Arabidopsis thaliana: one gene and its partners. The protein of the gene in region 3 interacts with the protein of the main gene of each other region in a pairwise test. Each region holds a gene or a part of one and is shown on either strand. Other genes may lie near its edges.

Region 1 (7,865 bases), on a different chromosome or scaffold from region 3:
GTCTCACAATTAGTGAAACAAATGAAAAGTCAAGTGAACGAACATTCTCTTACTCAACGAAACAAATCAAAAAGATTCTCTTACTATTATCTCTTTGGGCGAATGTTTCAATCGATTCAATTCAAAACCAGAAATCAAATTCAACGATTAAACAGAGAGAGATATTCGAGAGAGGGAACCTGAGGAGCGAATAAGAAAGGAGATGGAGATCGAGCAGGACTTCCGGGAGGAGAACTGCTCATAGAGTCTGAAGAAGGACGACGGTGACGACTGCGTGCAGAAGGATCGCCGCCATTAGATCTCGCCGAGGACGAGGTAACATCTGCACCACCGCTACCGGCGGCGGCGTCTTCGTCTTTGCCGTTCGCATTTCCCATCTGAAAAAGCCCAAATCACAGAAGCGAGAGAGACAAAGAGAGGAGAGAGATAGAGGAAAAGAGAGAGAAAACCAGACGTGAAGAAAAATGGAGGGAGGACGACGAGGAGGAGATAATGAAACGCCCCTCAAGTTAGAAGTTAATTACGAATAATGCCATTGGTAGCGAAAAAGAGATTTTGCATAAAAGGGGCTCTTGAGAGAGAGATATCATTAAAATCCGTACCAAATGGATAAACGAGTGACTTGGCGTCCAAAAGTTTATAATTATCCACTTTTTTTTTGTTTATTTCTTTTAGTATATAATAAACAAATGTGAATAAAAAGTTGGTTCAATGCCTTTGAGAAGGATAATGACACAAGGGCCAGTCACCTCCTTGCCACCGATTTGTGTGCCTTAACATCTTGCTAGAGCCAGTGATCATAGTATGCGTATCGTGACGATGAAAAGGCCTTAAACTCCAATAGGTGGGGTTAGAATAGAGATGGTCAAAGAATCATCATTTTCCAAGATTTGTATTGGTTAGTCCCGTAAACTAGTTATTGGTCGAAAGATTGTTTCGAAAAGTTTGGAGGGTTTCAAAGCCAATGTAAACTTGTAAAAGGCGATGGTCACTATTCACTAAGCCATGAGTGATTGTCATGCACTTTCCTTATAGGTTGAGTCATTGTTTTTTCTTTTGCTTTCTCGCATTGTATATTGGTCACTTTCAAATTGTAAGATTTCAGCTTTTGCTTTATCATTTACTTTGAACTAAGGTTTTGATTCAACCTCATATTTTCTTCAAACGAGTGTACTATCATTGGAAAAACTTGATTTCAATCACTTCAATTTTCATCAATATATTGACCTTTTGTTTAGAAATCTTATCTAGTGGACACTAAATCTTCCACAGACACCTTCAAATGTCATTTTCAGAGACAAAAATTCATTCAAATCTTCATCAATTACTTTATTCTTCGTAGGTTCACATATTGAAGAATTAAGATAATAGCCTCACCCAAAAAAAAAATTAAGATAATAGTTTTCACCTCAGAAATCATCGTTAATATCCATCATATATATAAAAATTATTATATGTATATTAACAATTCAGATAATTTTTCACGTATTTTTAAAAGACTAAATATTATAATTAAATAACTTAAACGAATTAAACAATAAAACAATAAAGAGATTATAAGAGCGATAACTAGTTATCTTCGTTCTCTTTTACCAACTACTAATCCTTAGTTGTAACAAAAGTTTGTTAGATCACATTAAAAGTACAAAATAACTTAGAATTGCTACACAAATTCTAACACATCTATTTAAGGACATAAACTAAGGTTAATAAATAAACGCGTTATAAATAGGTCTAACGAAAATAAGTTTATAAAGTTAATTTAAATTTTTTTAAAACCCTACATAAATGATGTTTTCTCAAAACAAAAATTAAAAAGAAATAAATTGAATGTTTTTAATTACGAAGGATAAAGACCAGATTAGAGGATATTTGTAATACTAGTAATTAAACAAATCATGAATATTATTCTTATTTTTTGTCAAATTTCAAATAGGAAAAATAGGAAATTGCTATATAAAATAAACATATACATATAAAAAAAGAGGAAAGTAACTAGGGTTTTTGGGGTTATACGTTTCACTGTTTGTTTCATCCTCGCTTATTCCTCCCTTAAAGAGTGTCGCCACCAAAACACACACACACACTTGCCTCCTTCTTCAACCTCTCTTCCTCACATTGCGTCTTCTCCATCTGATCCTTCAATCCTCGTTCTGTTTTTGATCCAATTGAATCGCTTCCTTGTTTTGATTCTGTTTATCTTTCCAAGTTTCTAATGATGGCGGAGACTGAAGGATCAGTGGCCGATGATCGAGAATTGATCACCCGTGAAGGTGGTATTGGGACTAAGTCTCCGTGGAAAACAACGACTTCTCCTGTTGAGACTATTGACGCTCCTGTAATGGGAGCTCATTCGTGGCCTGCACTCGCCGACGCTGCCCAACAACCGCGTCCTAAGAATCCTCCGGCGCCTGCACCTGCTCCGCCGTCTAAAAACATTCCGACGTCTATCCCAATCCCTACTCCGGTTAGTCAAACAACCGACTTCTTTCCGTTGATTTGTCAATGTTGTTTGATTATGCTTTAATTGAGTATTAATTTTCCGATTGTAATGGTGCGTGGTACTTGGTAGAGCTGAGAGTTATCTGATACTGGATATCAGTTGTGTTCGTGATTGGTTTAAGTTGGTGATATTGAATCTTTGATCGAATTTGATGCATGATGATTATGACGTTTATTTATTTGTCGTGATTTTCTTTTACTTGGCTTGAAAGGTTTATAGTGTGATTGGAAAGTCTTTTGTTTAGCATTGAATTTGTAGCCTTAGCTTTGCTCATAAAAGCTCTTTTGTTTTGTTGTTTAGGCCGTAACTGGTCAAGCGAAATCTAAGGGTGGTGGAAAGGCTAATCCTGGACACAAGAATCCATCTGGCCGTCATTCAAAACCAGGTCCGAGGAGCAACCAGAATGGTCCTCCTCCTCCTCCTTATCTCGTGCATGCTGTACCGTATCATCCACCTCCTTTTCCACCTATGGTGCCTCTGCCACATGCTGCTGGTCCAGATTTTCCATATGCACCTTATCCTCCCTACCCGGTTCCTGTGCCTCCTGTTACTGAGTCTGGCAATGAGAAGCAAGTTCAAGCTTCCCCTCTTCCACCTGTGTTGCCAGCTCCTCAAGGGGATCCTGGAAAGCCTTGGCCGCATCAGAGGGGTTTTGACCCCAGAAACATGCCACAAGGTGCTGGACCAAGAAATTTCGGGAGACCTCCATTTATGGGTCCAGCTCCTGGGTTCCTGGTTGGTCCAGGTCCAGGCTTTCCTGGTAAGATATTGATTCTTTGTCAATGTGTTTAAAGGGACTGGCTGAGAGTAGTTGATAAAAATTTAATTCTGTTGCTCTTGAATATATTTAGCATTAGGATAAAGGATAACTGTCGGTTTTTGATGCATGAGTGCTGTTTTTGTTTCTTCATTTGACACAGGGCCTGTATACTACTTGCCGGGTCCACCCCCTGGAGCTATAAGAGGTCCTTATCCTCCACGCTTTGCTCCATACCCTGTAAACCAGGGTCCTCCAATACTATCTCCAGAAAAACTCGACTTAAGGGATAGAGTCTTAAAACAAGTAGAGTATTATTTCAGGCAAGTTATGCTTCTCTACATCAATTTTTTTGTGATTATAATTATGTTCAGCTTATCCTTTATTGTGGCTCTTGAAATTTCATATTACCTTCCGTTTATTTATTCCCTTTTCAGTGATGAAAACCTTGAGAATGATCATTACCTCATTTCTTTGATGGATGAAGAAGGATGGGTTCCCACAAAAATTATAGCTGGCTTCAAAAGGGTAAAATTAGTAACATGAGCTTGACTTGCTTTCTTTTTCATTAATCTATTCTGTCATCTGTGTTTTTACACAAGTGTGTTGTTTTTTAAGTTTTCTTTTACTCTTGAATTGCAGGTTAAAGCAATGACTATGGATGTTGATTTTATAGTCTATGCGTTGGGGTTTTCTAATTCTGTTGAAGTGCAGGTCAGACCACCTTCCTTCTTTTCTGGTTTAAATGCTAAACTCTTGCTTTTGTGAATGGGGTTTTACTAATTCTTGGGTTCAGATTAGCTTTTGTATTAAAAAATTGTTTCCTTGAACACTATGTTTTCTTCGGTTGTATTGTGTATTTCTATTGTGGTGAGGCTATCACCAAAAGAATGGGTTAGAACTTTGTCTCTGAATAATAGTTTAAAGAAGCCTCTTTGATTATTCTAACTTAACTTAGAGCATGCTTGGTTTCCACAGGTGTAAGGCCTACTTGTTTTTTAAAACAGTATAAAATGCTGGTACTTCTTATCTGTTGGATCCTAATTTGAAATGCTGGTACTTTTACAGGGTGACCAGATACGCAAGCGTGACAAGTGGTCTGACTGGATTCCTGCATCTAAAAAGTCAACCTCTGCGGAGACAATTGGAGACGGTGACAAAGATTCCCCAAAAAGTATAACAAGCGGGGATAATTTTGGAAACCCTTCAAAGGGTTCTTCAAAGCCTACCGTGTCCGATTTCTCTTCAGAGGTAAAAAAAAATTTCTTTTGGTAGAGAAATTCTGTAAGACTGCCAAGCCAATGAAATTTTAGTTTTTGCTCCAGTCATAGTTTTTCCGTTGTGTGGTACAGGGAGCTCAGTCATCAAGAACCAATAATTATAAAAGTGGTAACCTGAAATCATCAGCAGACGAAAAAAGAAATGTGGAGGACTTGTCAAACGATTTTTCAAACACTTTCTTGCTTGACGAGGAACTAGATCTGGAGCACAGAAGCCCGAGAAAGAGTGGACTGTCCATGTCCAAAAGGTAGTGCGTGCACCACTTAATTAGTCCTGCTATTTGCTTTCTGTCCTTTTGTTTCCAATATGCCTTCTTTTTTTTATATGAATCTTAAACTGCATATATAAAGTACTGCAGTTGATGCTTAGGTTTATTTGACATTTTGTAGCATTGAGTATGAAGACGATGATATGGCTGTTGATGATCAAGATATTCAGAAACTTGTAATTGTTACCCAGGTATTACACAGAACTTTTTATATATTTCCTTGAACTCTATGTTTGGTGAAATCAATTATTCATGTTCCGTTATATGCTGGACAGAATAGTGGTAAAAGTGATGGCGCTGGAATCGGTGGGACGGAAGCAAAAAATATTCCTAAGGAGCTTGCCTCCACAATCAACGATGGTCTTTACTACTTTGAGCAGGTAAGGAATATTTTCCTATCATAATATGATTTACCTCTTTGGAGTCCAATTTCTAATCTTTACCTATGAAACAGGAGCTTAAAAAAAAACGATCTGGCCGTAGGAAGAACAACTCCCATTTGGATACCAAAGATGGGAAAATCAAATCTGGGGAAGGATTGAACACTAAGTTGGGCGAAAATTCCGCAGCAAATGATGGAGGGGAAGAGCATGGAATCATTACTTCACGGAGGAAGCAAAATAAGGGAACGCACAAACATCATACAGCCCATGCACGGAGGTTCTTCTCGAGTAACATAAGGAACAATGGAAATATATCAGAAAGTCCGCCTAGTAGCTCCATTGGATTTTTCTTTGGTTCTACACCACCAGACAGTCATGGGTCAGTATCTTAGCAATCCTTTATATTCCCAACTTTTTCTTATTTTTTTGTTTATCACTTGTCCTTAATATTCTGTTTTTATTGTATTTTAACAGCCCTAGGCTTTCGAAATTGAGTTCATCTCCACAATGTACACTTTCTGGAAGCAGTCCACCTGTGGGCTCTTTGCCAAAATCATTTCCACCTTTTCAACATCCGAGCCACCAACTGTTGGAAGAGAATGGGTTTAAACAAGAAAAGTGAGTCTATGGTTATTGTATGGAGCATTATTTTTTGGAGGATAAGATCGTATCTTGAAGGTCTCTGTTCTTATTCCTTTTAAATCTACCTATAGGTACTTGAAGTATCGCAAGCGCTGCTTAAACGAAAGAAAGAAGCTAGGTAGCGGATGCAGTGAGGTCAGTTTCATGTTAACCTCCTTTCGATGATTTCTCATCATGTATAACAAAAGAAACCCGCAATAGCTGTTACATGCTCAACTCATCTGTTTTTACATATAAATTACTCAACTCATACTTTAATCTAGTTAGAGATCAGAAACCCTAGTTTCTGGAATTGTATCTGAATTCTGGCTGTTCTTTTTGCAGGAAATGAACCATTTGTACCGATTTTGGTCGTATTTCCTCAGAGACACATTTGTTCTCTCTATGTATGATGACTTTCAGAAGTTTGCTCTTGAGGATGCAGCTGGCAATTACGATTATGGGCTGGAGTGTCTCTTTAGGTTTTATAGGTAATGCATACGTCTTAGATTTGCTTATATGTTCCATCTTTTTCACTGCGGATAAGCTCTCAGTGTAAAAAAATCTAATCCAACTAATATTGGTCTGCCTTGCTTCTTAAGTTATGGTCTGGAGAAGCACTTTGATGAGGACCTTTACAAGGACTTTGAGAAGCTATCGCTTGACTTCTACCACAAGGGAAATCTGTATGGCTTGGAGAAATATTGGTAAGGGCTCTATTATTATGATAATGGTTAAACAATATTGTTGCTACTGAATTCCTGTTATGGAACTGTGATTTTCGTTAATGTCTCTAGAGAACTTACATAAAAAAAAAGGGCTTGTAGTAATAATCTAGGTTAAAAGATGTTCACATAGCCTCAATGCTCTCCTTTTGATAATAGAAAAAGTTTGTTTGTTTGGTTGGTTGTGTTGAATAGGACCTAATCATCTCTCTCTTGTGTAGGGCATTCCACCATTATCGAGGCAAAGAAGAACCGATAACAAAGCACCCTGAGCTAGAGAAACTACTGAAGGAAGAATTCCGTAGCATAGACGATTTCCGAGCAAAGGAAACAATCACCAACCAAAAAGAAAACAAGTCTCACTGATGAGGATGTGAAGTGAAGAAGAAGCAGAGATATGTGTTGATGCCGCAGAGCAAATGATCCTTAAATCTTGACCTAAAGTTTTGTGTATCTCTTTCTTCTGGGGGAAGTGACCAACCAAGTGAAGCAATCACTCTGAATTTTAAAGGATAATTTCCTTGGTGGTATTTTTCTTTTGTGGGATTATTTTTGTGGATTTTGGATGGATGCAGGATGATCTCTGCAATACAAACAAGAGCTTTGACTGAAGAGGCGTTCATCTACACAAGAGTTTCGCCCTCTCCCTAAAAGTTGTAATCTTTTTCTTTTTTGTATATATTTCATTTTCTAATTTACTCAATTTTAGAAGAAAAAAAAACAAAAAAAAAATGATGTGATTTGTAGTATCTGTAGAAACAATAAGAGATGTTTTATTTGACAATTTTATATAGATAGTACATTTTCTTGTTTGTAAATTTTTGTCTTCTTGCATCTTATATATTTGGCCTACGCAGAATATTTTTTCAAAGAGTTCTTATTTACACAAATATTCCTGATTCTTTCTTTTAGATATTGATAACTCTGATGATTGCCGACAAAAAAAAAAAAGTCTGATGATTACCATGAATTTGCTTAACACTCACGAAAAGAGCGAAATTTGGGTTTTACGGTTTTACCAATATTCCTGAAGGGTTACTTAACTAACACACCCTGAAGGTTATAAGTACCTAAAGTTGCAAATTTTCTGGGCAAAATGTTTTCTTTTAAACCTAGCAGATGTTGTAGTTCATCGATATGTTCCAAATCTAACTATATGATGCAAATCACACTGCCTATATGTAATTCAGCCACAACATCAGATCGACGTTAAAAAAAGAAGAGAACTCAATGCCTTAAAATACCAAATCTGATTAAGCATAATAAAGTATCAACCAACAGCGCCCACAAAAACCGACAGAATATAAAGAGTATCTCCTCAATGTTA
Region 2 (4,217 bases), about 29 Mb from region 3:
TGGAAGTATGGGACCACATGAGCCCTGAGCTCCGATGCGCCGGTGTAACGGTGGCTCGCATCACCCTTCAGCCCAATTCCATTTTCTTGCCCGCTTTCTTTAGCCCACCTGCCCTTGCTTACGTTGTCCAAGGTAAGAAAATAAATAAATACGCTTTTTGATCAAGACCTAATTAAAAACTCGCAACCTATAGAAAATCTAAAAAAAGTGGTCTTTTATTTTAATTGTTTTCAGGAGAAGGAGTTATGGGGACGATTGCTTCTGGTTGTCCTGAGACTTTTGCAGAAGTTGAAGGATCATCAGGAAGAGGAGGAGGAGGAGACCCGGGTCGACGTTTTGAGGACATGCACCAGAAGTTGGAGAATTTCCGGCGAGGGGATGTGTTTGCTTCGCTTGCCGGAGTTTCACAGTGGTGGTACAACCGCGGTGATTCCGATGCCGTCATTGTCATTGTTCTTGATGTCACCAACAGAGAAAACCAGCTTGACCAAGTCCCTAGGGTAATCATCAAATTCAAGAAAGTCCAAATTTGTACTGCATGCAAACTATATGACTACCACTCAGTGATTAAAATAGTGATTCATATATATAACACATAATGTCATTTTTTTGTGAACCCTTCATATGTAGATGTTCCAACTAGCCGGGAGCAGAACGCAAGAAGAAGAACAACCATTAACGTGGCCATCAGGCAACAACGCTTTCAGCGGTTTCGACCCAAACATAATCGCGGAAGCATTCAAAATCAACATCGAGACAGCTAAGCAACTACAAAACCAGAAGGACAACAGAGGAAACATAATCCGAGCAAATGGTCCTCTCCATTTCGTCATCCCACCGCCTCGTGAATGGCAGCAAGATGGCATTGCTAATGGCATCGAAGAGACTTATTGCACGGCTAAGATTCATGAGAATATCGATGATCCAGAACGGTCTGACCATTTTAGCACACGAGCCGGAAGAATCAGCACTCTTAACAGCCTTAATCTCCCTGTTCTACGTCTAGTCAGACTTAACGCCCTTAGAGGTTATCTCTACAGCGTAAGTATCCCACTTTTAAATTAGATTTACAAATTCTTTATGTGCTATATAATGAATTCTCGTGGAGATAGGGAGGAATGGTGTTGCCACAATGGACGGCAAACGCGCACACGGTGCTATACGTCACAGGAGGTCAAGCCAAGATACAAGTGGTGGACGACAATGGTCAGTCGGTGTTCAATGAGCAAGTGGGACAAGGCCAAATCATTGTGATTCCACAAGGCTTTGCAGTTTCAAAAACGGCTGGTGAAACGGGTTTCGAGTGGATATCATTCAAGACAAACGATAACGCTTACATTAACACACTGAGCGGCCAAACATCGTACTTGAGAGCAGTTCCAGTGGATGTGATCAAAGCGTCATATGGAGTGAACGAGGAAGAAGCCAAGAGGATCAAGTTTAGTCAGCAAGAGACCATGTTGTCTATGACACCAAGCTCTTCTTCTTAAGCTCTTTAATTGCTTCCTTTAATGTTTTTTTAGATTTTCCAGTCACTGAAATAAATAAAGATGAGACTAATAACCAACTTTTCACAAAGCTTCAATAACAAAATTTCAGATTAAAAATTCCTACTAACATACACATCTTAGCTTTTATGATTACGTTGATTTTATTTTGTTAAATTTGATTACGTTGATTAGTGTATATATTAAATTAAAATCATTGAAAGGATAATGATAACACTAATAAAAAAAAGAAGAAGAAGGTTACGGTCTCGTAAAGCTTTCAAAAGTCCGCAACGATCACACACGTCTTTCTCCGAAACTCGTCTGAGAGAGGCTCTGAGATTCGATGTCGTTCGAGGAAGAAGAAGAGGAGGAAACATTCGAGCATACACTTCTCGTGGTGCGTGAGGTCTCCGTTTACAAGATCCCGCCGCGAACCACATCCGGCGGATACAAGTGCGGCGAATGGCTTCAATCCGATAAGATCTGGTCTGGTAGACTCCGCGTCGTATCGTGCAAGGATCGATGCGAGATCCGCCTCGAGGATTCGAATTCCGGTGATCTTTTCGCAGCTTGTTTTGTGGATCCTGGACGTAGAGAGAACTCTGTAGAGCCGTCTCTCGATTCGTCTAGGTATTTCGTTCTCAGGATCGATGACGGGAGAGGGAAGTATGCGTTTATCGGGCTAGGATTCGCTGAGAGGAACGAAGCGTTTGATTTCAATGTTGCGTTATCGGATCATGAAAAGTACGTTAGGAGGGAGAAAGAGAAGGAGACAGGGGAAACGAGTGAGAGCGATAATCATATTGATATCCATCCTGCCGTTAATCACAGATTGAAGGTAAACTGATCTGTTCATAAGCTAGCTTTTGGAATTAAGATAGGATCAATGCGGAATCTGATAATTTGGAGAAATCTGATTGAAGCTTTCAGATCTATTTTGGAAAAACAACTATCGAATCCAATGTGGAATTGATTGATTCAGATACGTTTTGTAGTATCATTCTCATTGCAAAGTTCTTATCTTGCTAGTAGGCTATAGCTAAAAGTTGCTTGGTCTTGGTGTTTGTATCAGTGATGAGAATATTTTGGATGCATTATCTGCTGAGATTGATTAGCTATTCGTTATTTGGATTTTCTAATTTCCTTTATTTGTAGTGTTATTTGGTGGAAGATCTTTGTAGTTTGTATGCTCTGTGTAGATATTAGGATGAGTAAATAGTACCAGCCTTAATTTTTCTCGATCTTGTGTTGTGTTCATCATCTCTAATCTTAAATTGATGCTGCTATATGTCTTGATTTTGCTCTTTTAGTCTTCACAGATGGTTCATAATCACAAGTTTTGTTTTAGCATCCACTCGTAGTTGCAGAACATACTCATTTGATTTTGTTTACTCAATATCTTTCTCTGGGAACCGTAACTGTAGAATCAATATTTCAATTCTGATTGAACTCCATCATTTATCCGGAAAAGGAAAATTCTTGGCATTTGGACTTGGTAGAACCTGAAAAGATTGTTGTTTTGATGGGTTTTAAGGAAGGTGAAACCATAAGAATCAACGTGAAGCCGAAACCAACAACAAATGGCACTGGGATGCTCTCAGCTGCTCTTTCAGGAACGGGGAAGCCAAAACCTCTAGCACTTGCCCCACCCCCCAAAGCTGCCGGAGTAACCAGGTCTCCTTTACCTCCTCCTCCAAACGATCCCGTCGCTTCAAGGATTGCATCTGATGGCTGCAAGGAATCACGCAGGAACGAGCCTCTATCTGATCTATCTCAGCTCAAGGTAAATAAACCTTGTCTTCTTAATTACATTTATTCTTATTCTCTAAGGTTACTCTAAATTATCCTTGATTTGGTAATACTCGGCAGAAAAATCTTCCTTCAACGGCGGGATCAGGATCGAGCAAGTCAACAGGAGCTGCATCAGGTTGGGCAGCTTTCTGATGAATGGAGTGTAAAATTTAAGTTATTGGACAAGTCCGGCTTCATCTTCTTGTGACTTGAGAGCACGAGACAATAGACAACAATGGTGGTCAGCCAACAGTCTTTTTGATGTATGTTAATGGTAAGTTGATGTGTGTTTCTTTGTAATCCTCCCACACTCCCTGTTTTAATTATTTTTCTTCCTTATAATCATCGTTGTTACATTATCGATTATCATTTGTATCACTGAGATATTAATATATACAAAAAGGCTTTTTCATAATTTCAACTTTTGCTTCTACGTAAAACTAAAATGCTAAATCTGTTTGCTATTGCATGACTAAGCAAATAAATGTACAAGAAAATATTACAAAAAAAAAAAAAAAAACATTTTGTACTCCCTTATACGCTGTCGTTTGGTTGACGATGCGTGATGACCAGCACACTGACGTGGCGACGTGCAAAGAGATACAATCGTTATATCACTGACGTGGCGAAAAGGTACTGGTATGACGTGGATTTAGCGTTGAACGAAACATATTTAAAGGACTGCATATTTGACCAAAGTAAACAATGTCGGTCCACCAACTAATCGTTACCTACTCCTTGTATCTGACCGCTTGAGAGCTTTTGGAGACTGGCAAAAATGGCGGAGAAAGATGCGACGGCGAGTGGCGATGACGCCATTAGAGTTAGCGGTATGCAATTCGCATACGAAGTTGAGGATCCAATATTCTTCGACTTCAACCTCGATCTTCCAGCTGGTTCTCGCTGTCTTCTGGTTGGTGCCAATGGATCTGGTAC
Region 3 (5,944 bases):
GAAACAACCATTGAGACGCCGGTTGAAGATGATAAGACCGACGAAGGAGGTGATGCAGCTGAAGAAGCCGCTGATATACCTAACAATGCTAATGATCAACAAGAAGCACCAGAAACTGACATCAAGCCAGAGACCTCAGCAGCTACAACCTCCCCTGTTTCTACCGCTCCAACAACTTCCTCTACTCTAGCTTCTGCTATTACTTCAAGCGGAGCTCCAGAAACAGAAGATCCAAAAAGAGCACCGTCACCAGGTGGTGGAAGTTCAACTATTGTGACACTAGCTGATAGAGCACAGATGAAAAGACGAGAAAGAATAGCCAATATAGTAGTAAGTCGAGCTCCTAATCCAGCCACCAGAGGAGCTCGTGGTCGAACTGTAAACCTTCGAGGAGGAGGCCGATTGTTGCCTCGTGGTGGTCGAGCCCCACGTGGTGGACGTGGACAATCCCCGAGCCCACCATGATTTTTAGTGGGTATGGTTGAACAATTAGACTTATCCAAGGAGGCTCCTTGAAGAGAGAATTAATAACGGTAGAGAAACTCATTTTATGTCTAAACCTCTTTTCTTTTTGTATCCCGGTTTTCTTATATCACTATAAAATCAAACCTATCATTTTTGCCAATGATTACAAATTGCAAAACATATCATAAACACAACACAAAACCAAAAAAAAAAAGTGAAGAAAAAACCCAACATTACACCATACAACGAAACAATAGAAGAAGAAGCCATCTCGCTTGTAATAAAATCAAAGCAATCCGAAACAATCGGACGGTTTATATTGATCCTTAAAAAACCAAACCAAAAACACTACATGTTCTTCTAGTTAGCTCACTGTCCCGGTTAACTCTGTGTTTCCCTCTTCGACTGTATTAGACATCTCCATTGTTTTAAAATCAGCAACCAAGTCTTCTTCTTTCTTCTGTTATCATAGACATAAGATCATTCTCGTTAGAATACAATACATAGAACAAAAAGAGCATGATTGAGAGATATAAAGAGGAGAATACTAAGGACCTTTAATACCGGAGGGAACCTTAGCTTCTTCTGTACCATAACCTTCTCTCTGTTTTCATAAAAATCAAAATCATCTAAAATAGATGTCTTAGCTGCGTAGTTCTTAAAGATGTTCAACACTTCATTCCCTTGAGGCAACCTCACCTATATATGAAGGACAATGTTTAAACAGTATGAGATGAGATTAGCTCTTGATAATGATTCACTTCCTTAAGCCTATTAAGGAACTAATGTTACCTCTTGTGTGTCTCTGCTATTGGTTACAGGCTTGTTCTCATTGTTCTCTAGTATGATATGTCGTAGTTGCGGATTTGGAACATCTTTGATGATGTGCCACTTCACCGGAAAATAGCCAGTCCACTTATCTTGTTGCCAGAACTCCATGCTTTTCTCATAATCAACTCGTCCAATCATCTCAGCTACACCGCAGAATTGGCCACTTGCATTCACCTGAATCCAATAAAATCGATCAGAGACCATGAAGACGTCGCAAAACTGAATACGTATATAGCGAAAAATCCTAATAGCATACCGAGAAGAACAGGAAAACCGGGCACTTTCCACTTTTGTCTGCAGCCTTCTTCTGAGATTCTTGATATGCACTGTCTAACTTCTTGTTCCCATTGAGAGTACTAGACCAGACATTGTACTTGATGCTCTTGTGTATGTCGTCTTCGCTATACGATTTTATCACAAAAAAGATTGCTTCCTCGTATTTGGTCTGAAAGCTAGGGAGGTTATATTGATCCCTTCTGATCACAGAACCAACACCGTTGCTTCTTTCATTCCCTTCAGCATCCAACGAACATGACTCACATTCTCCATTGGTAATATGATCTTGACCGTTTGCTAAGTCATTCATACTTGTACCATTTTCTTTTGTCCTCGCTTTCGCCTTCTCTGTTTCATCCCGATTTAAAGCTCCAGACTTTTTCTTTACTGGGTCCATCGGGTAAGCAATGCGACCTTTTTCTTGGTTAAGCAGTGGGGGTGGGGCATAGCTGTTCTGTGATGCCTATAGCATCAATACAAAGAAAAAAAGATGAGTCAAACCTCTTCAGGTAATGTGAAAGAGAGAAGAATTAAAGAGTGTAAATGTTACTTTTCGCGGTGTTTTAGGACGATCTCCCATGCCGTGACCCGTGAAGGAGTTCTTGCTCTTTGAATAATAATTGTTGTGGTTATGACTTGAAGAAGATATGTTCTGTTTCAAGGGTGGGGTATATGAAGCAACACCATACACATACCTGTCTCCAACAGGGTCCCATAAATATGTGGGCGATGAAACATCTGCATAACCAAATTGGTTCTGATAATAACCCTGAGCAGCATACATCGGCGAATGAAGTGCTTGACTCGATACACCAACCGGGTTTATAGGCATATAAGTTTGGCTTGCATCATAAGACTGAAACCCTGGCATCAAGTAGATCACAGACCCATTTTCCCCTTGCATTACCTTAAAATCAAGATCAAGAAAATGGTCAGTTAAAAAGATCGAGTCACCCGAGTGAGTAATTCATTCTCTTCATGACAAGGAAGTTTTGATTACCGGGTACTGAACTTCTGTTCCATAACCATAGTATCCATTATCCTTTGCTTCTCCAACTGAACCATCAAGACCTGTAAAAACACGCTAATTCAGATTATGATCATCTAAAAGCAGAATTGAGTACATATTATATAGTATCAGTGTGTAAAAAGAAGCAAAACCTGGATAGTAGTATCCATAGTAGCCACCATAAGGACAAGGCAGGCCTTGATATGTCTCAAGAGTTTCATAATATGATGGCTCTGCCTCTGACTGATTCTTATTCTCTTTTGCAGAAACCTTTAATGTTGCAAAACAAAAGGAACACAAAAACACATAACTGATAAATCATCCTAAGAACCAAAACATATGAATCATCTGTAATAAACAGAGAAGAGAGAATCTTTATTACCATGGAAGTGGTGGAGGCAGTGACCTTAGCAAGAGGATCCACTTTAAGATTCTTCACCATATCTTCAAAGGCTGAAACAAATTAAACAAACGTTCCCGAAGAGATCAGATTCTGAAAAACACAAAGAAACAAGACATATGTATGTATAAAGTAGACACAAACATTACTAGTAATCTTTTTGATGCCTTTATTTTCTTAACTATGTGAAGAGACAGGTTTGAAACGTGAACTGATGTCTGAATATTTAGTCGTACCGATAAAAACTAATAACTAGGCGTGACTTATATATTTATAGTTAATATTGAAAATAAGACATATGAGTCTAATCACAAGAAACAGAGCACTATACACATAGACACACATATATATATTTACAGACACACAAACACAGGATTCAGATAAAAGGTCAAACGCAAAAGTTAAAAAGACGTGTAAGAACAACACAGATTAAACACGTGTGTGTAGGAAAGAAAGAGAGAAAGAGTACATTTACGAGGATGTTTTGGAACATGAGAAGTCATCTACGAAGAGTAGTAAAAGAAATTTATGTGTTTGACTAAGAATAAAAGACGAAAAAATCAAAACACAGATGAAGAAACCAAAACTCGAATCATCTGTTTCGCAGAGGGTTTTAAAAAGTCTCAAGAATTATTAAATTAGAAAGAAAAAAAGCTGTAGAAAATCTGTTTATCAAGAAGAAGACAACATCAGCTAAAGATATGTTTTATTTTTATGTTTGAAAACTAAGTACAGATACGCAACAAAGAAAAACAGAGAGAGGGAGAAGAAATGGTAATGGCTTACGACGAAGAAGAAGAAGAAAGAAGAACAGAGAGTTTTTTTTCTATTTTTTCTTTTGCAATCCTTCTTATTTATTTTCGATGTAAATTAAAAAATAGAGGTTGGGAAGAGGTACAGATGGAGGGAAGAGAATGGTCCACGTCATAAGGATTCTTGATATGAACGAAGATCGACCGTTGGATTAGACGACAAGGCAAAAACTTAAAACATCTTTTCTTGCCAACTTTTCCATCTGGAATCTATTCTTAACACAACTCTCTTGTAAGTGCTTCTTCAAAAAGTGATTTTAAAAAAGAGAATCTTAATTTGGCATTAACTAACACAATTAATTCTATAAAAAAAAATCATAGGAATACATATTCTATGGAAACAAAAAAAATGAAAGTTAGGACCAGTTCTTATGGTCGGGCAAACTATAAAAAGCACAGAAGAATATCATATAAGATAGTTGAAAAATTGGATTTGACTCTGCCTCTCTCTCCATGTATCCTTGAGTCCGAGCAATACCACACAATAAAAATAAAAACTATATTTTCCATTAAAAATGATTTATTATTCGATGAGTTTTACAACTTTTTAAAAAGTTTTCTCAACCATATAAATCATTAATTAATTCTTGTCTAACAAAATTTTAAATATTCTTTGATGAAAAGAGATGAACAATTCCTATACGCTACAGTTGTTGTTGGATTTTATTTTTTAAATGTTATTGAAGATTGTAGATTGAGATCTCATACTACTATTGATATGCTTCCATTATTGCAATCTGAGTTTTCTTTGAAAATTTGTATCATTAGGTGTCAAGTGGCCCATTCATTTGTGTACACTTACATATGCATCTATATTTCTTATGTCCCCCCACCAAAATCCAGATCTAAACTCATATGAAAGTCATCCATAAGTTTTAACTATCCTAGAAAATGATCACTCCTAGAATTTAATTTCTCTCTATTAGATTGGGACTACTAATAAACACACAATCACCTTACATAATTTTCTTCAAAAATGAAAGTGTTGTGTTTTTGCTCCATTTGTATTATATCCAAAGTAGATATTGCTTAGGGATCAAGTTATAATTGTCAACACCACATAAAAAGCCAAATAGGCCAAAAAAAAATAAGAAACACCATATGGAACTATTTAATACAATAAGCCAAAATTATGGAGCTTAAGAGAATTACAAGGTGCCACGTTTTGTCATTGCCGTGGCCTAAACGTGTCTGCTTCACATCTATATGATTTTCTTTCTTTTGTTTTCTTTTCCGTCTTTTATTTTTTTTTTTGTATTAAAATTTCTGTTGTTATATGTGATTACGTATGTCTAATTAAGTTTATAAGATTGCATCTTACAATTATTAAACCAAATCTTATATAATTGTAGAGAATTAATCTTACTTCAATTTGTTGACTTTGCTTCGATAATAACTTCGGTGCTCATCTCATAATTTCTAAAATGTGTATGCAATAGTATAAAAAGAAAATAAATATGGGGACAATCTTGTAATTATTGAAAGCTATTGTAGTCAATTAGAATATCATTAATATTGAGGCGTCAGATGCTAAAATTGAACGTATATAGGCGCCAATGGGCCTATTTACCTCTTTTAATAAAAGCCCATTTAACTCTCAAATTGTCATCTTCTTCTTACTTGTGCTTACAAGAACAAAACATAACAAAACACTTTGGTAACCAAAATCTTACAAAGAGTATCAAATGTTGTTACTAAACAGAGTGATTCTACATATCAAAATCAAAGCATCTCAATATCACATCGGTCGTGTCAGGTTTCGATTTCACAGGAACTTGGATTCAAAGCTTATCGAGTATTGCTTTGAGATGTGGTTGAAGAGGGTTAGTGGTTGTACTCATACGAACCACATACGATAGTTTTCCATCAACCAATTCAAATTCTCTACTTATCTCCTTCACCTGTTGGAGAAAAAAAACCCCATAAATCACCAATTAGAAACACAAAAATGTTGTGTGTAGAGACAGAGACATTGAATAAATAATAACAAAGAGAATTAATCTGAAACCTTTGAAGCGTTTCCCACAAGATCACTTTTGAGTTTGATTGATTGTTCATCTACATTGTATGTTCCTTTCTGTGATCAGAGATTCAGCAAAACATAAGTAATGATTTTGGAAGCTTATGGTAAACACGGATCTAATGGAAATT
Region 4 (3,148 bases), on a different chromosome or scaffold from region 3:
TCTCTGTCTTGTTGTATAGAGAATTAAGAAACCGTGAGCATGAAACAAAAATTCATCTATTTTTATTACTACAACAAAACATTCCGCTTTTGTGTTAACATAGAGAACAAAAGACCCCATTTTACGAAAATGATTCTACTCTTATAAATGGGCTTAAGTGGGTTGTAAAATTTGTAGAAGAATGCACAAACACTTCAACATCTCTAGTTGTCCTACTGGCTTTAAAGAACATCTCTTTGATTGAGATTAATTCACTTGCAATTTATCGGTAAAACTTTAAAACTGAACCAAAAGTAAAAAAGAGTGAGACTAGTTTTTTGTTTGTTAAACATGAAACTGGACATAAAACTGGACAGATACATTCTACTAATATCATGCATTCCGTTAAGTATTTTGAACAAAAAATCTCATCTTTGGAAGAGTATATTATGAAAAATATTTGGATTTACACTCAAAATCATATTCATTTATTAACAATTAAAACTATAAAAAGACATAAGCTAAAGAATTAAAGTAGTAAAAAATTGATAGTTTTATTTCCTTTCCTTTATTATCAACAACATTGAAGTTATCGTCGTGATTACAGAATCCAAAATTGGAAAGAAATGGCAGGATACATATTTGATTTTTGTTGTCGACAAATTTGGACTAAGAGACGTAACAAATCTTGCCAGCTACATGTAGAACGCACCTGTTAATACTGTAAACAATGTCGGCTAACTATTTTGTGCTAACGACAATAAATATCAAAGTAGTACGTGTAGCGTCTAGCTTCTTCTATGAGATAAAACGACGATGGGAGTGTCATTATTTTTCACTCATTTCTTGTATTTTTCTTTGGAACCAAAATGTCTTTTTCCATGATTTAACGACATGTGCTTCACGTTTCTTCATATGTCTTTTTACCGACTTCAACAAATGGTGATGGTATTTATCGAAATTCATCAATTTCTTCCTAAATTAAATTGGTAAAAATACCAATTGTCGAACTCACTCACGAAGATTGGACTGTAAACGGTATAGATGACCGTATTTGCTTCGTGGTATGGTCGTGCGTTGTCTCAAATCGCAAAAGAGCCAAATTATGTTTAAAAAATTCAATGCCATATTAGAAACCTTAATCTTCTCTAATGAATTTGTACGACGTAATATAGAATGAGAGGTTCAAATTATTAAGAAGGAAGTTTAAAAGACTTAGAACCGTTTGCAAAGTTTTGGGAGAGATGATCGGTGACCTATACAATGAGATAATAGAGATTGAGGGATTGAAAATTGAGGGACGCAACCATTACACTGATACGTTGAGTTGATATGGTGATAATTGTTTTTATGTTCAAAAACTTACATAAGTAGATAATGTGGAGTCTCTTTGATTTCTTAACCTGAACGAAAAACCAAAAAGGAGAAGAGAGTGATCACCTAATTTAACGTGTAAAACATGACATTTTCCAAGAAGAGGGATCGATCTAAAAGTCAAAAAAAGGATGAGATAGCGTTTTAGTTTATCATATGTGGCATAGTTAGATTGGCTTGTAAAATAATTTCTAATCCTAAACATGATAGATAGCAGCCTTAGAAGCAAGTAACATCAAATTTTTATAGTATATATATATGGATTCTCGAAACCCTAATCTTCACATCACTATCTTCAAAAACAAGTAACAGAAAAATGGCGCCTCCAACCGCAGCACCAGAGCCAAACACTGTGCCAGAGACTTCACCGACCGGCCACCGTATGTTTTCCCGGATCCGCCTCGCTACGCCGACCGATGTCCCTTTCATTCACAAGCTAATCCACCAGATGGCGGTTTTTGAGCGCCTCACGCATCTCTTTGTCGCCACCGAGTCTGGTCTTGCCTCCACGCTCTTCAACTCCCGTCCGTTCCAAGCCGTCACCGTCTTCCTCTTGGAAATCTCCCCTTCCCCATTTCCCACCACTCATGACGCTTCGTCCCCTGATTTCACCCCCTTTCTTGAGACGCATAAGGTTGATCTCCCTATCGAGGATCCGGACAGAGAAAAGTTCTTGCCGGATAAGCTCAACGACGTGGTGGTGGCTGGATTCGTTCTGTTCTTCCCGAACTACCCAAGTTTTCTAGCGAAACAGGGTTTCTACATCGAGGATATCTTCATGAGAGAACCTTACAGACGAAAAGGCTTCGGAAAACTGCTACTGACCGCTGTGGCAAAGCAAGCAGTGAAGTTGGGTGTCGGAAGAGTGGAGTGGATTGTGATCGATTGGAATGTGAATGCTATCAACTTCTATGAGCAGATGGGTGCGCAGGTTTTTAAGGAATGGAGACTTTGTAGGCTCACTGGCGATGCACTTCAAGCTATTGACAAGCTAAACATCTAGCAGCATGATGATTTGCATGAGACCCATCGAGCGATCGGTCCTTTAAAGTTTGTTTCTCACTTGTTTTTAATTTGTTGAATAAAACATCTCAAGTTTAAGATAAAGATGTATTTGTGATTATGGTTACAAAAGTATCTTCTGTGTTTTCGGATTTGAATAAAATGGAGATTTCTTCAAACTATTTATAAGCCATGTTTAAAAGAAGTTTTCAAGGTGTATTTAATGTGAATAAATAAAATTTTTAAATTATTGACCTCAATTTATATAGAGACTGCACTGTTTTTTTTTTAACCGGACAGCGTTCTACTTACACATGCTAAAGTACGGGCCTTGTCAAAAAGACATAGAAGTGGTAATTAAACAGATAAATTGGAAACATACAATTCCACTTAAATATATATATGGATCATTAAAATCTTAGTATTGTAATAAAATTAAGAAAAACATATCTCAAATGATGATTACATGATAATCAAATTTATACGGTATTAAGATAAAAAAAAAAGTGAAAATTTATCAGTTGACGAGGCGACAATTTTTACGAATCTCACCACCTTGATCTCCAAGAGTAAGGACTTTGATGGAACTCATCTTTATCATGGACCGACCAAACTGAGCAAGAAAAGCGCCGGAGTTTTGGAAAACACTAGCAATGTGAGCGGCGGAGGGATCAGTCAACAAGGCGGCGTCGGAGGTGAAGAGTCCTTTGTTCTTGAGTAGAGAGACGAAGTAGCCACTGTCAAAGGCGAGAGGACCAGTAGGGTCCATTCCGACCACTGCGGAAGGGTTGAG

Evidence for each region.
Region 1: the proteins of ECT8 (region 3) and LARP1a interact in a two-hybrid assay, tested with the Arabidopsis thaliana proteins (one large-scale study listed by BioGRID).
Region 2: the proteins of ECT8 (region 3) and ABCI18 interact in a two-hybrid assay, tested with the Arabidopsis thaliana proteins (one large-scale study listed by BioGRID).
Region 4: the proteins of ECT8 (region 3) and NATA1 interact in a two-hybrid assay, tested with the Arabidopsis thaliana proteins (one large-scale study listed by BioGRID).

The regions. Positions count from the first base shown.
Region 1 is NC_003076.8:7,198,230-7,206,094, reverse strand, and holds LARP1a (LA RNA-binding protein), read left to right. Parts: upstream 1-1,997; 5' UTR 1,998-2,215; coding exon 2,216-2,467; intron 2,468-2,803; coding exon 2,804-3,263; intron 3,264-3,423; coding exon 3,424-3,583; intron 3,584-3,697; coding exon 3,698-3,788; intron 3,789-3,902; coding exon 3,903-3,974; intron 3,975-4,328; coding exon 4,329-4,511; intron 4,512-4,612; coding exon 4,613-4,788; intron 4,789-4,930; coding exon 4,931-5,000; intron 5,001-5,084; coding exon 5,085-5,189; intron 5,190-5,263; coding exon 5,264-5,571; intron 5,572-5,666; coding exon 5,667-5,810; intron 5,811-5,905; coding exon 5,906-5,969; intron 5,970-6,158; coding exon 6,159-6,304; intron 6,305-6,415; coding exon 6,416-6,520; intron 6,521-6,759; coding exon 6,760-6,894; coding exon of another isoform or gene 6,895-6,904; exon of another isoform or gene 6,905-7,247; coding exon 7,248-7,278; 3' UTR 7,279-7,318; downstream 7,319-7,865. Other genes in the region: AKINBETA1 (5'-AMP-activated protein kinase beta-2 subunit protein), read right to left, coding at 180-377. UniProt on the Arabidopsis thaliana protein: Required for acclimation and survival during thermal stress. Heat-specific cofactor of XRN4 required for its targeting to polysomes and subsequent rapid degradation of seedling transcriptome during the early steps of the heat stress response.
Region 2 is NC_003070.9:989,419-993,635, forward strand, and holds ABCI18 (non-intrinsic ABC protein 4), read left to right. Parts: upstream 1-1,687; 5' UTR 1,688-1,833; coding exon 1,834-2,328; intron 2,329-3,024; coding exon 3,025-3,273; intron 3,274-3,359; coding exon 3,360-3,434; 3' UTR 3,435-3,708; downstream 3,709-4,217. Other genes in the region: AT1G03890 (RmlC-like cupins superfamily protein), read left to right, coding at 1-132, 235-500, 631-1,041, 1,113-1,490; ABCI19 (P-loop containing nucleoside triphosphate hydrolases superfamily protein), read left to right, coding at 4,060-4,213.
Region 3 is NC_003070.9:29,813,697-29,819,640, reverse strand, and holds ECT8 (evolutionarily conserved C-terminal region 8), read right to left. Parts: upstream 4,172-5,944; 5' UTR 3,485-4,171; coding exon 3,451-3,484; exon of another isoform or gene 3,126-3,450; intron 3,035-3,125; coding exon 2,964-3,034; intron 2,852-2,963; coding exon 2,734-2,851; intron 2,644-2,733; coding exon 2,573-2,643; intron 2,480-2,572; coding exon 2,123-2,479; intron 2,036-2,122; coding exon 1,553-2,035; intron 1,471-1,552; coding exon 1,258-1,470; intron 1,165-1,257; coding exon 1,021-1,164; intron 926-1,020; coding exon 830-925; 3' UTR 537-829; downstream 1-536. Other genes in the region: NUA (nuclear pore anchor), read left to right, coding at 1-465; AT1G79260 (nitrobindin heme-binding domain protein), read right to left, coding at 5,575-5,694, 5,802-5,870.
Region 4 is NC_003071.7:16,296,591-16,299,738, forward strand, and holds NATA1 (Acyl-CoA N-acyltransferases (NAT) superfamily protein), read left to right. Parts: upstream 1-1,519; 5' UTR 1,520-1,669; coding exon 1,670-2,356; 3' UTR 2,357-2,615; downstream 2,616-3,148. Other genes in the region: AT2G39040 (Peroxidase superfamily protein), read right to left, coding at 2,873-3,148. UniProt on the Arabidopsis thaliana protein: Acetyltransferase that converts ornithine to N5-acetylornithine, which is likely used in plant defense.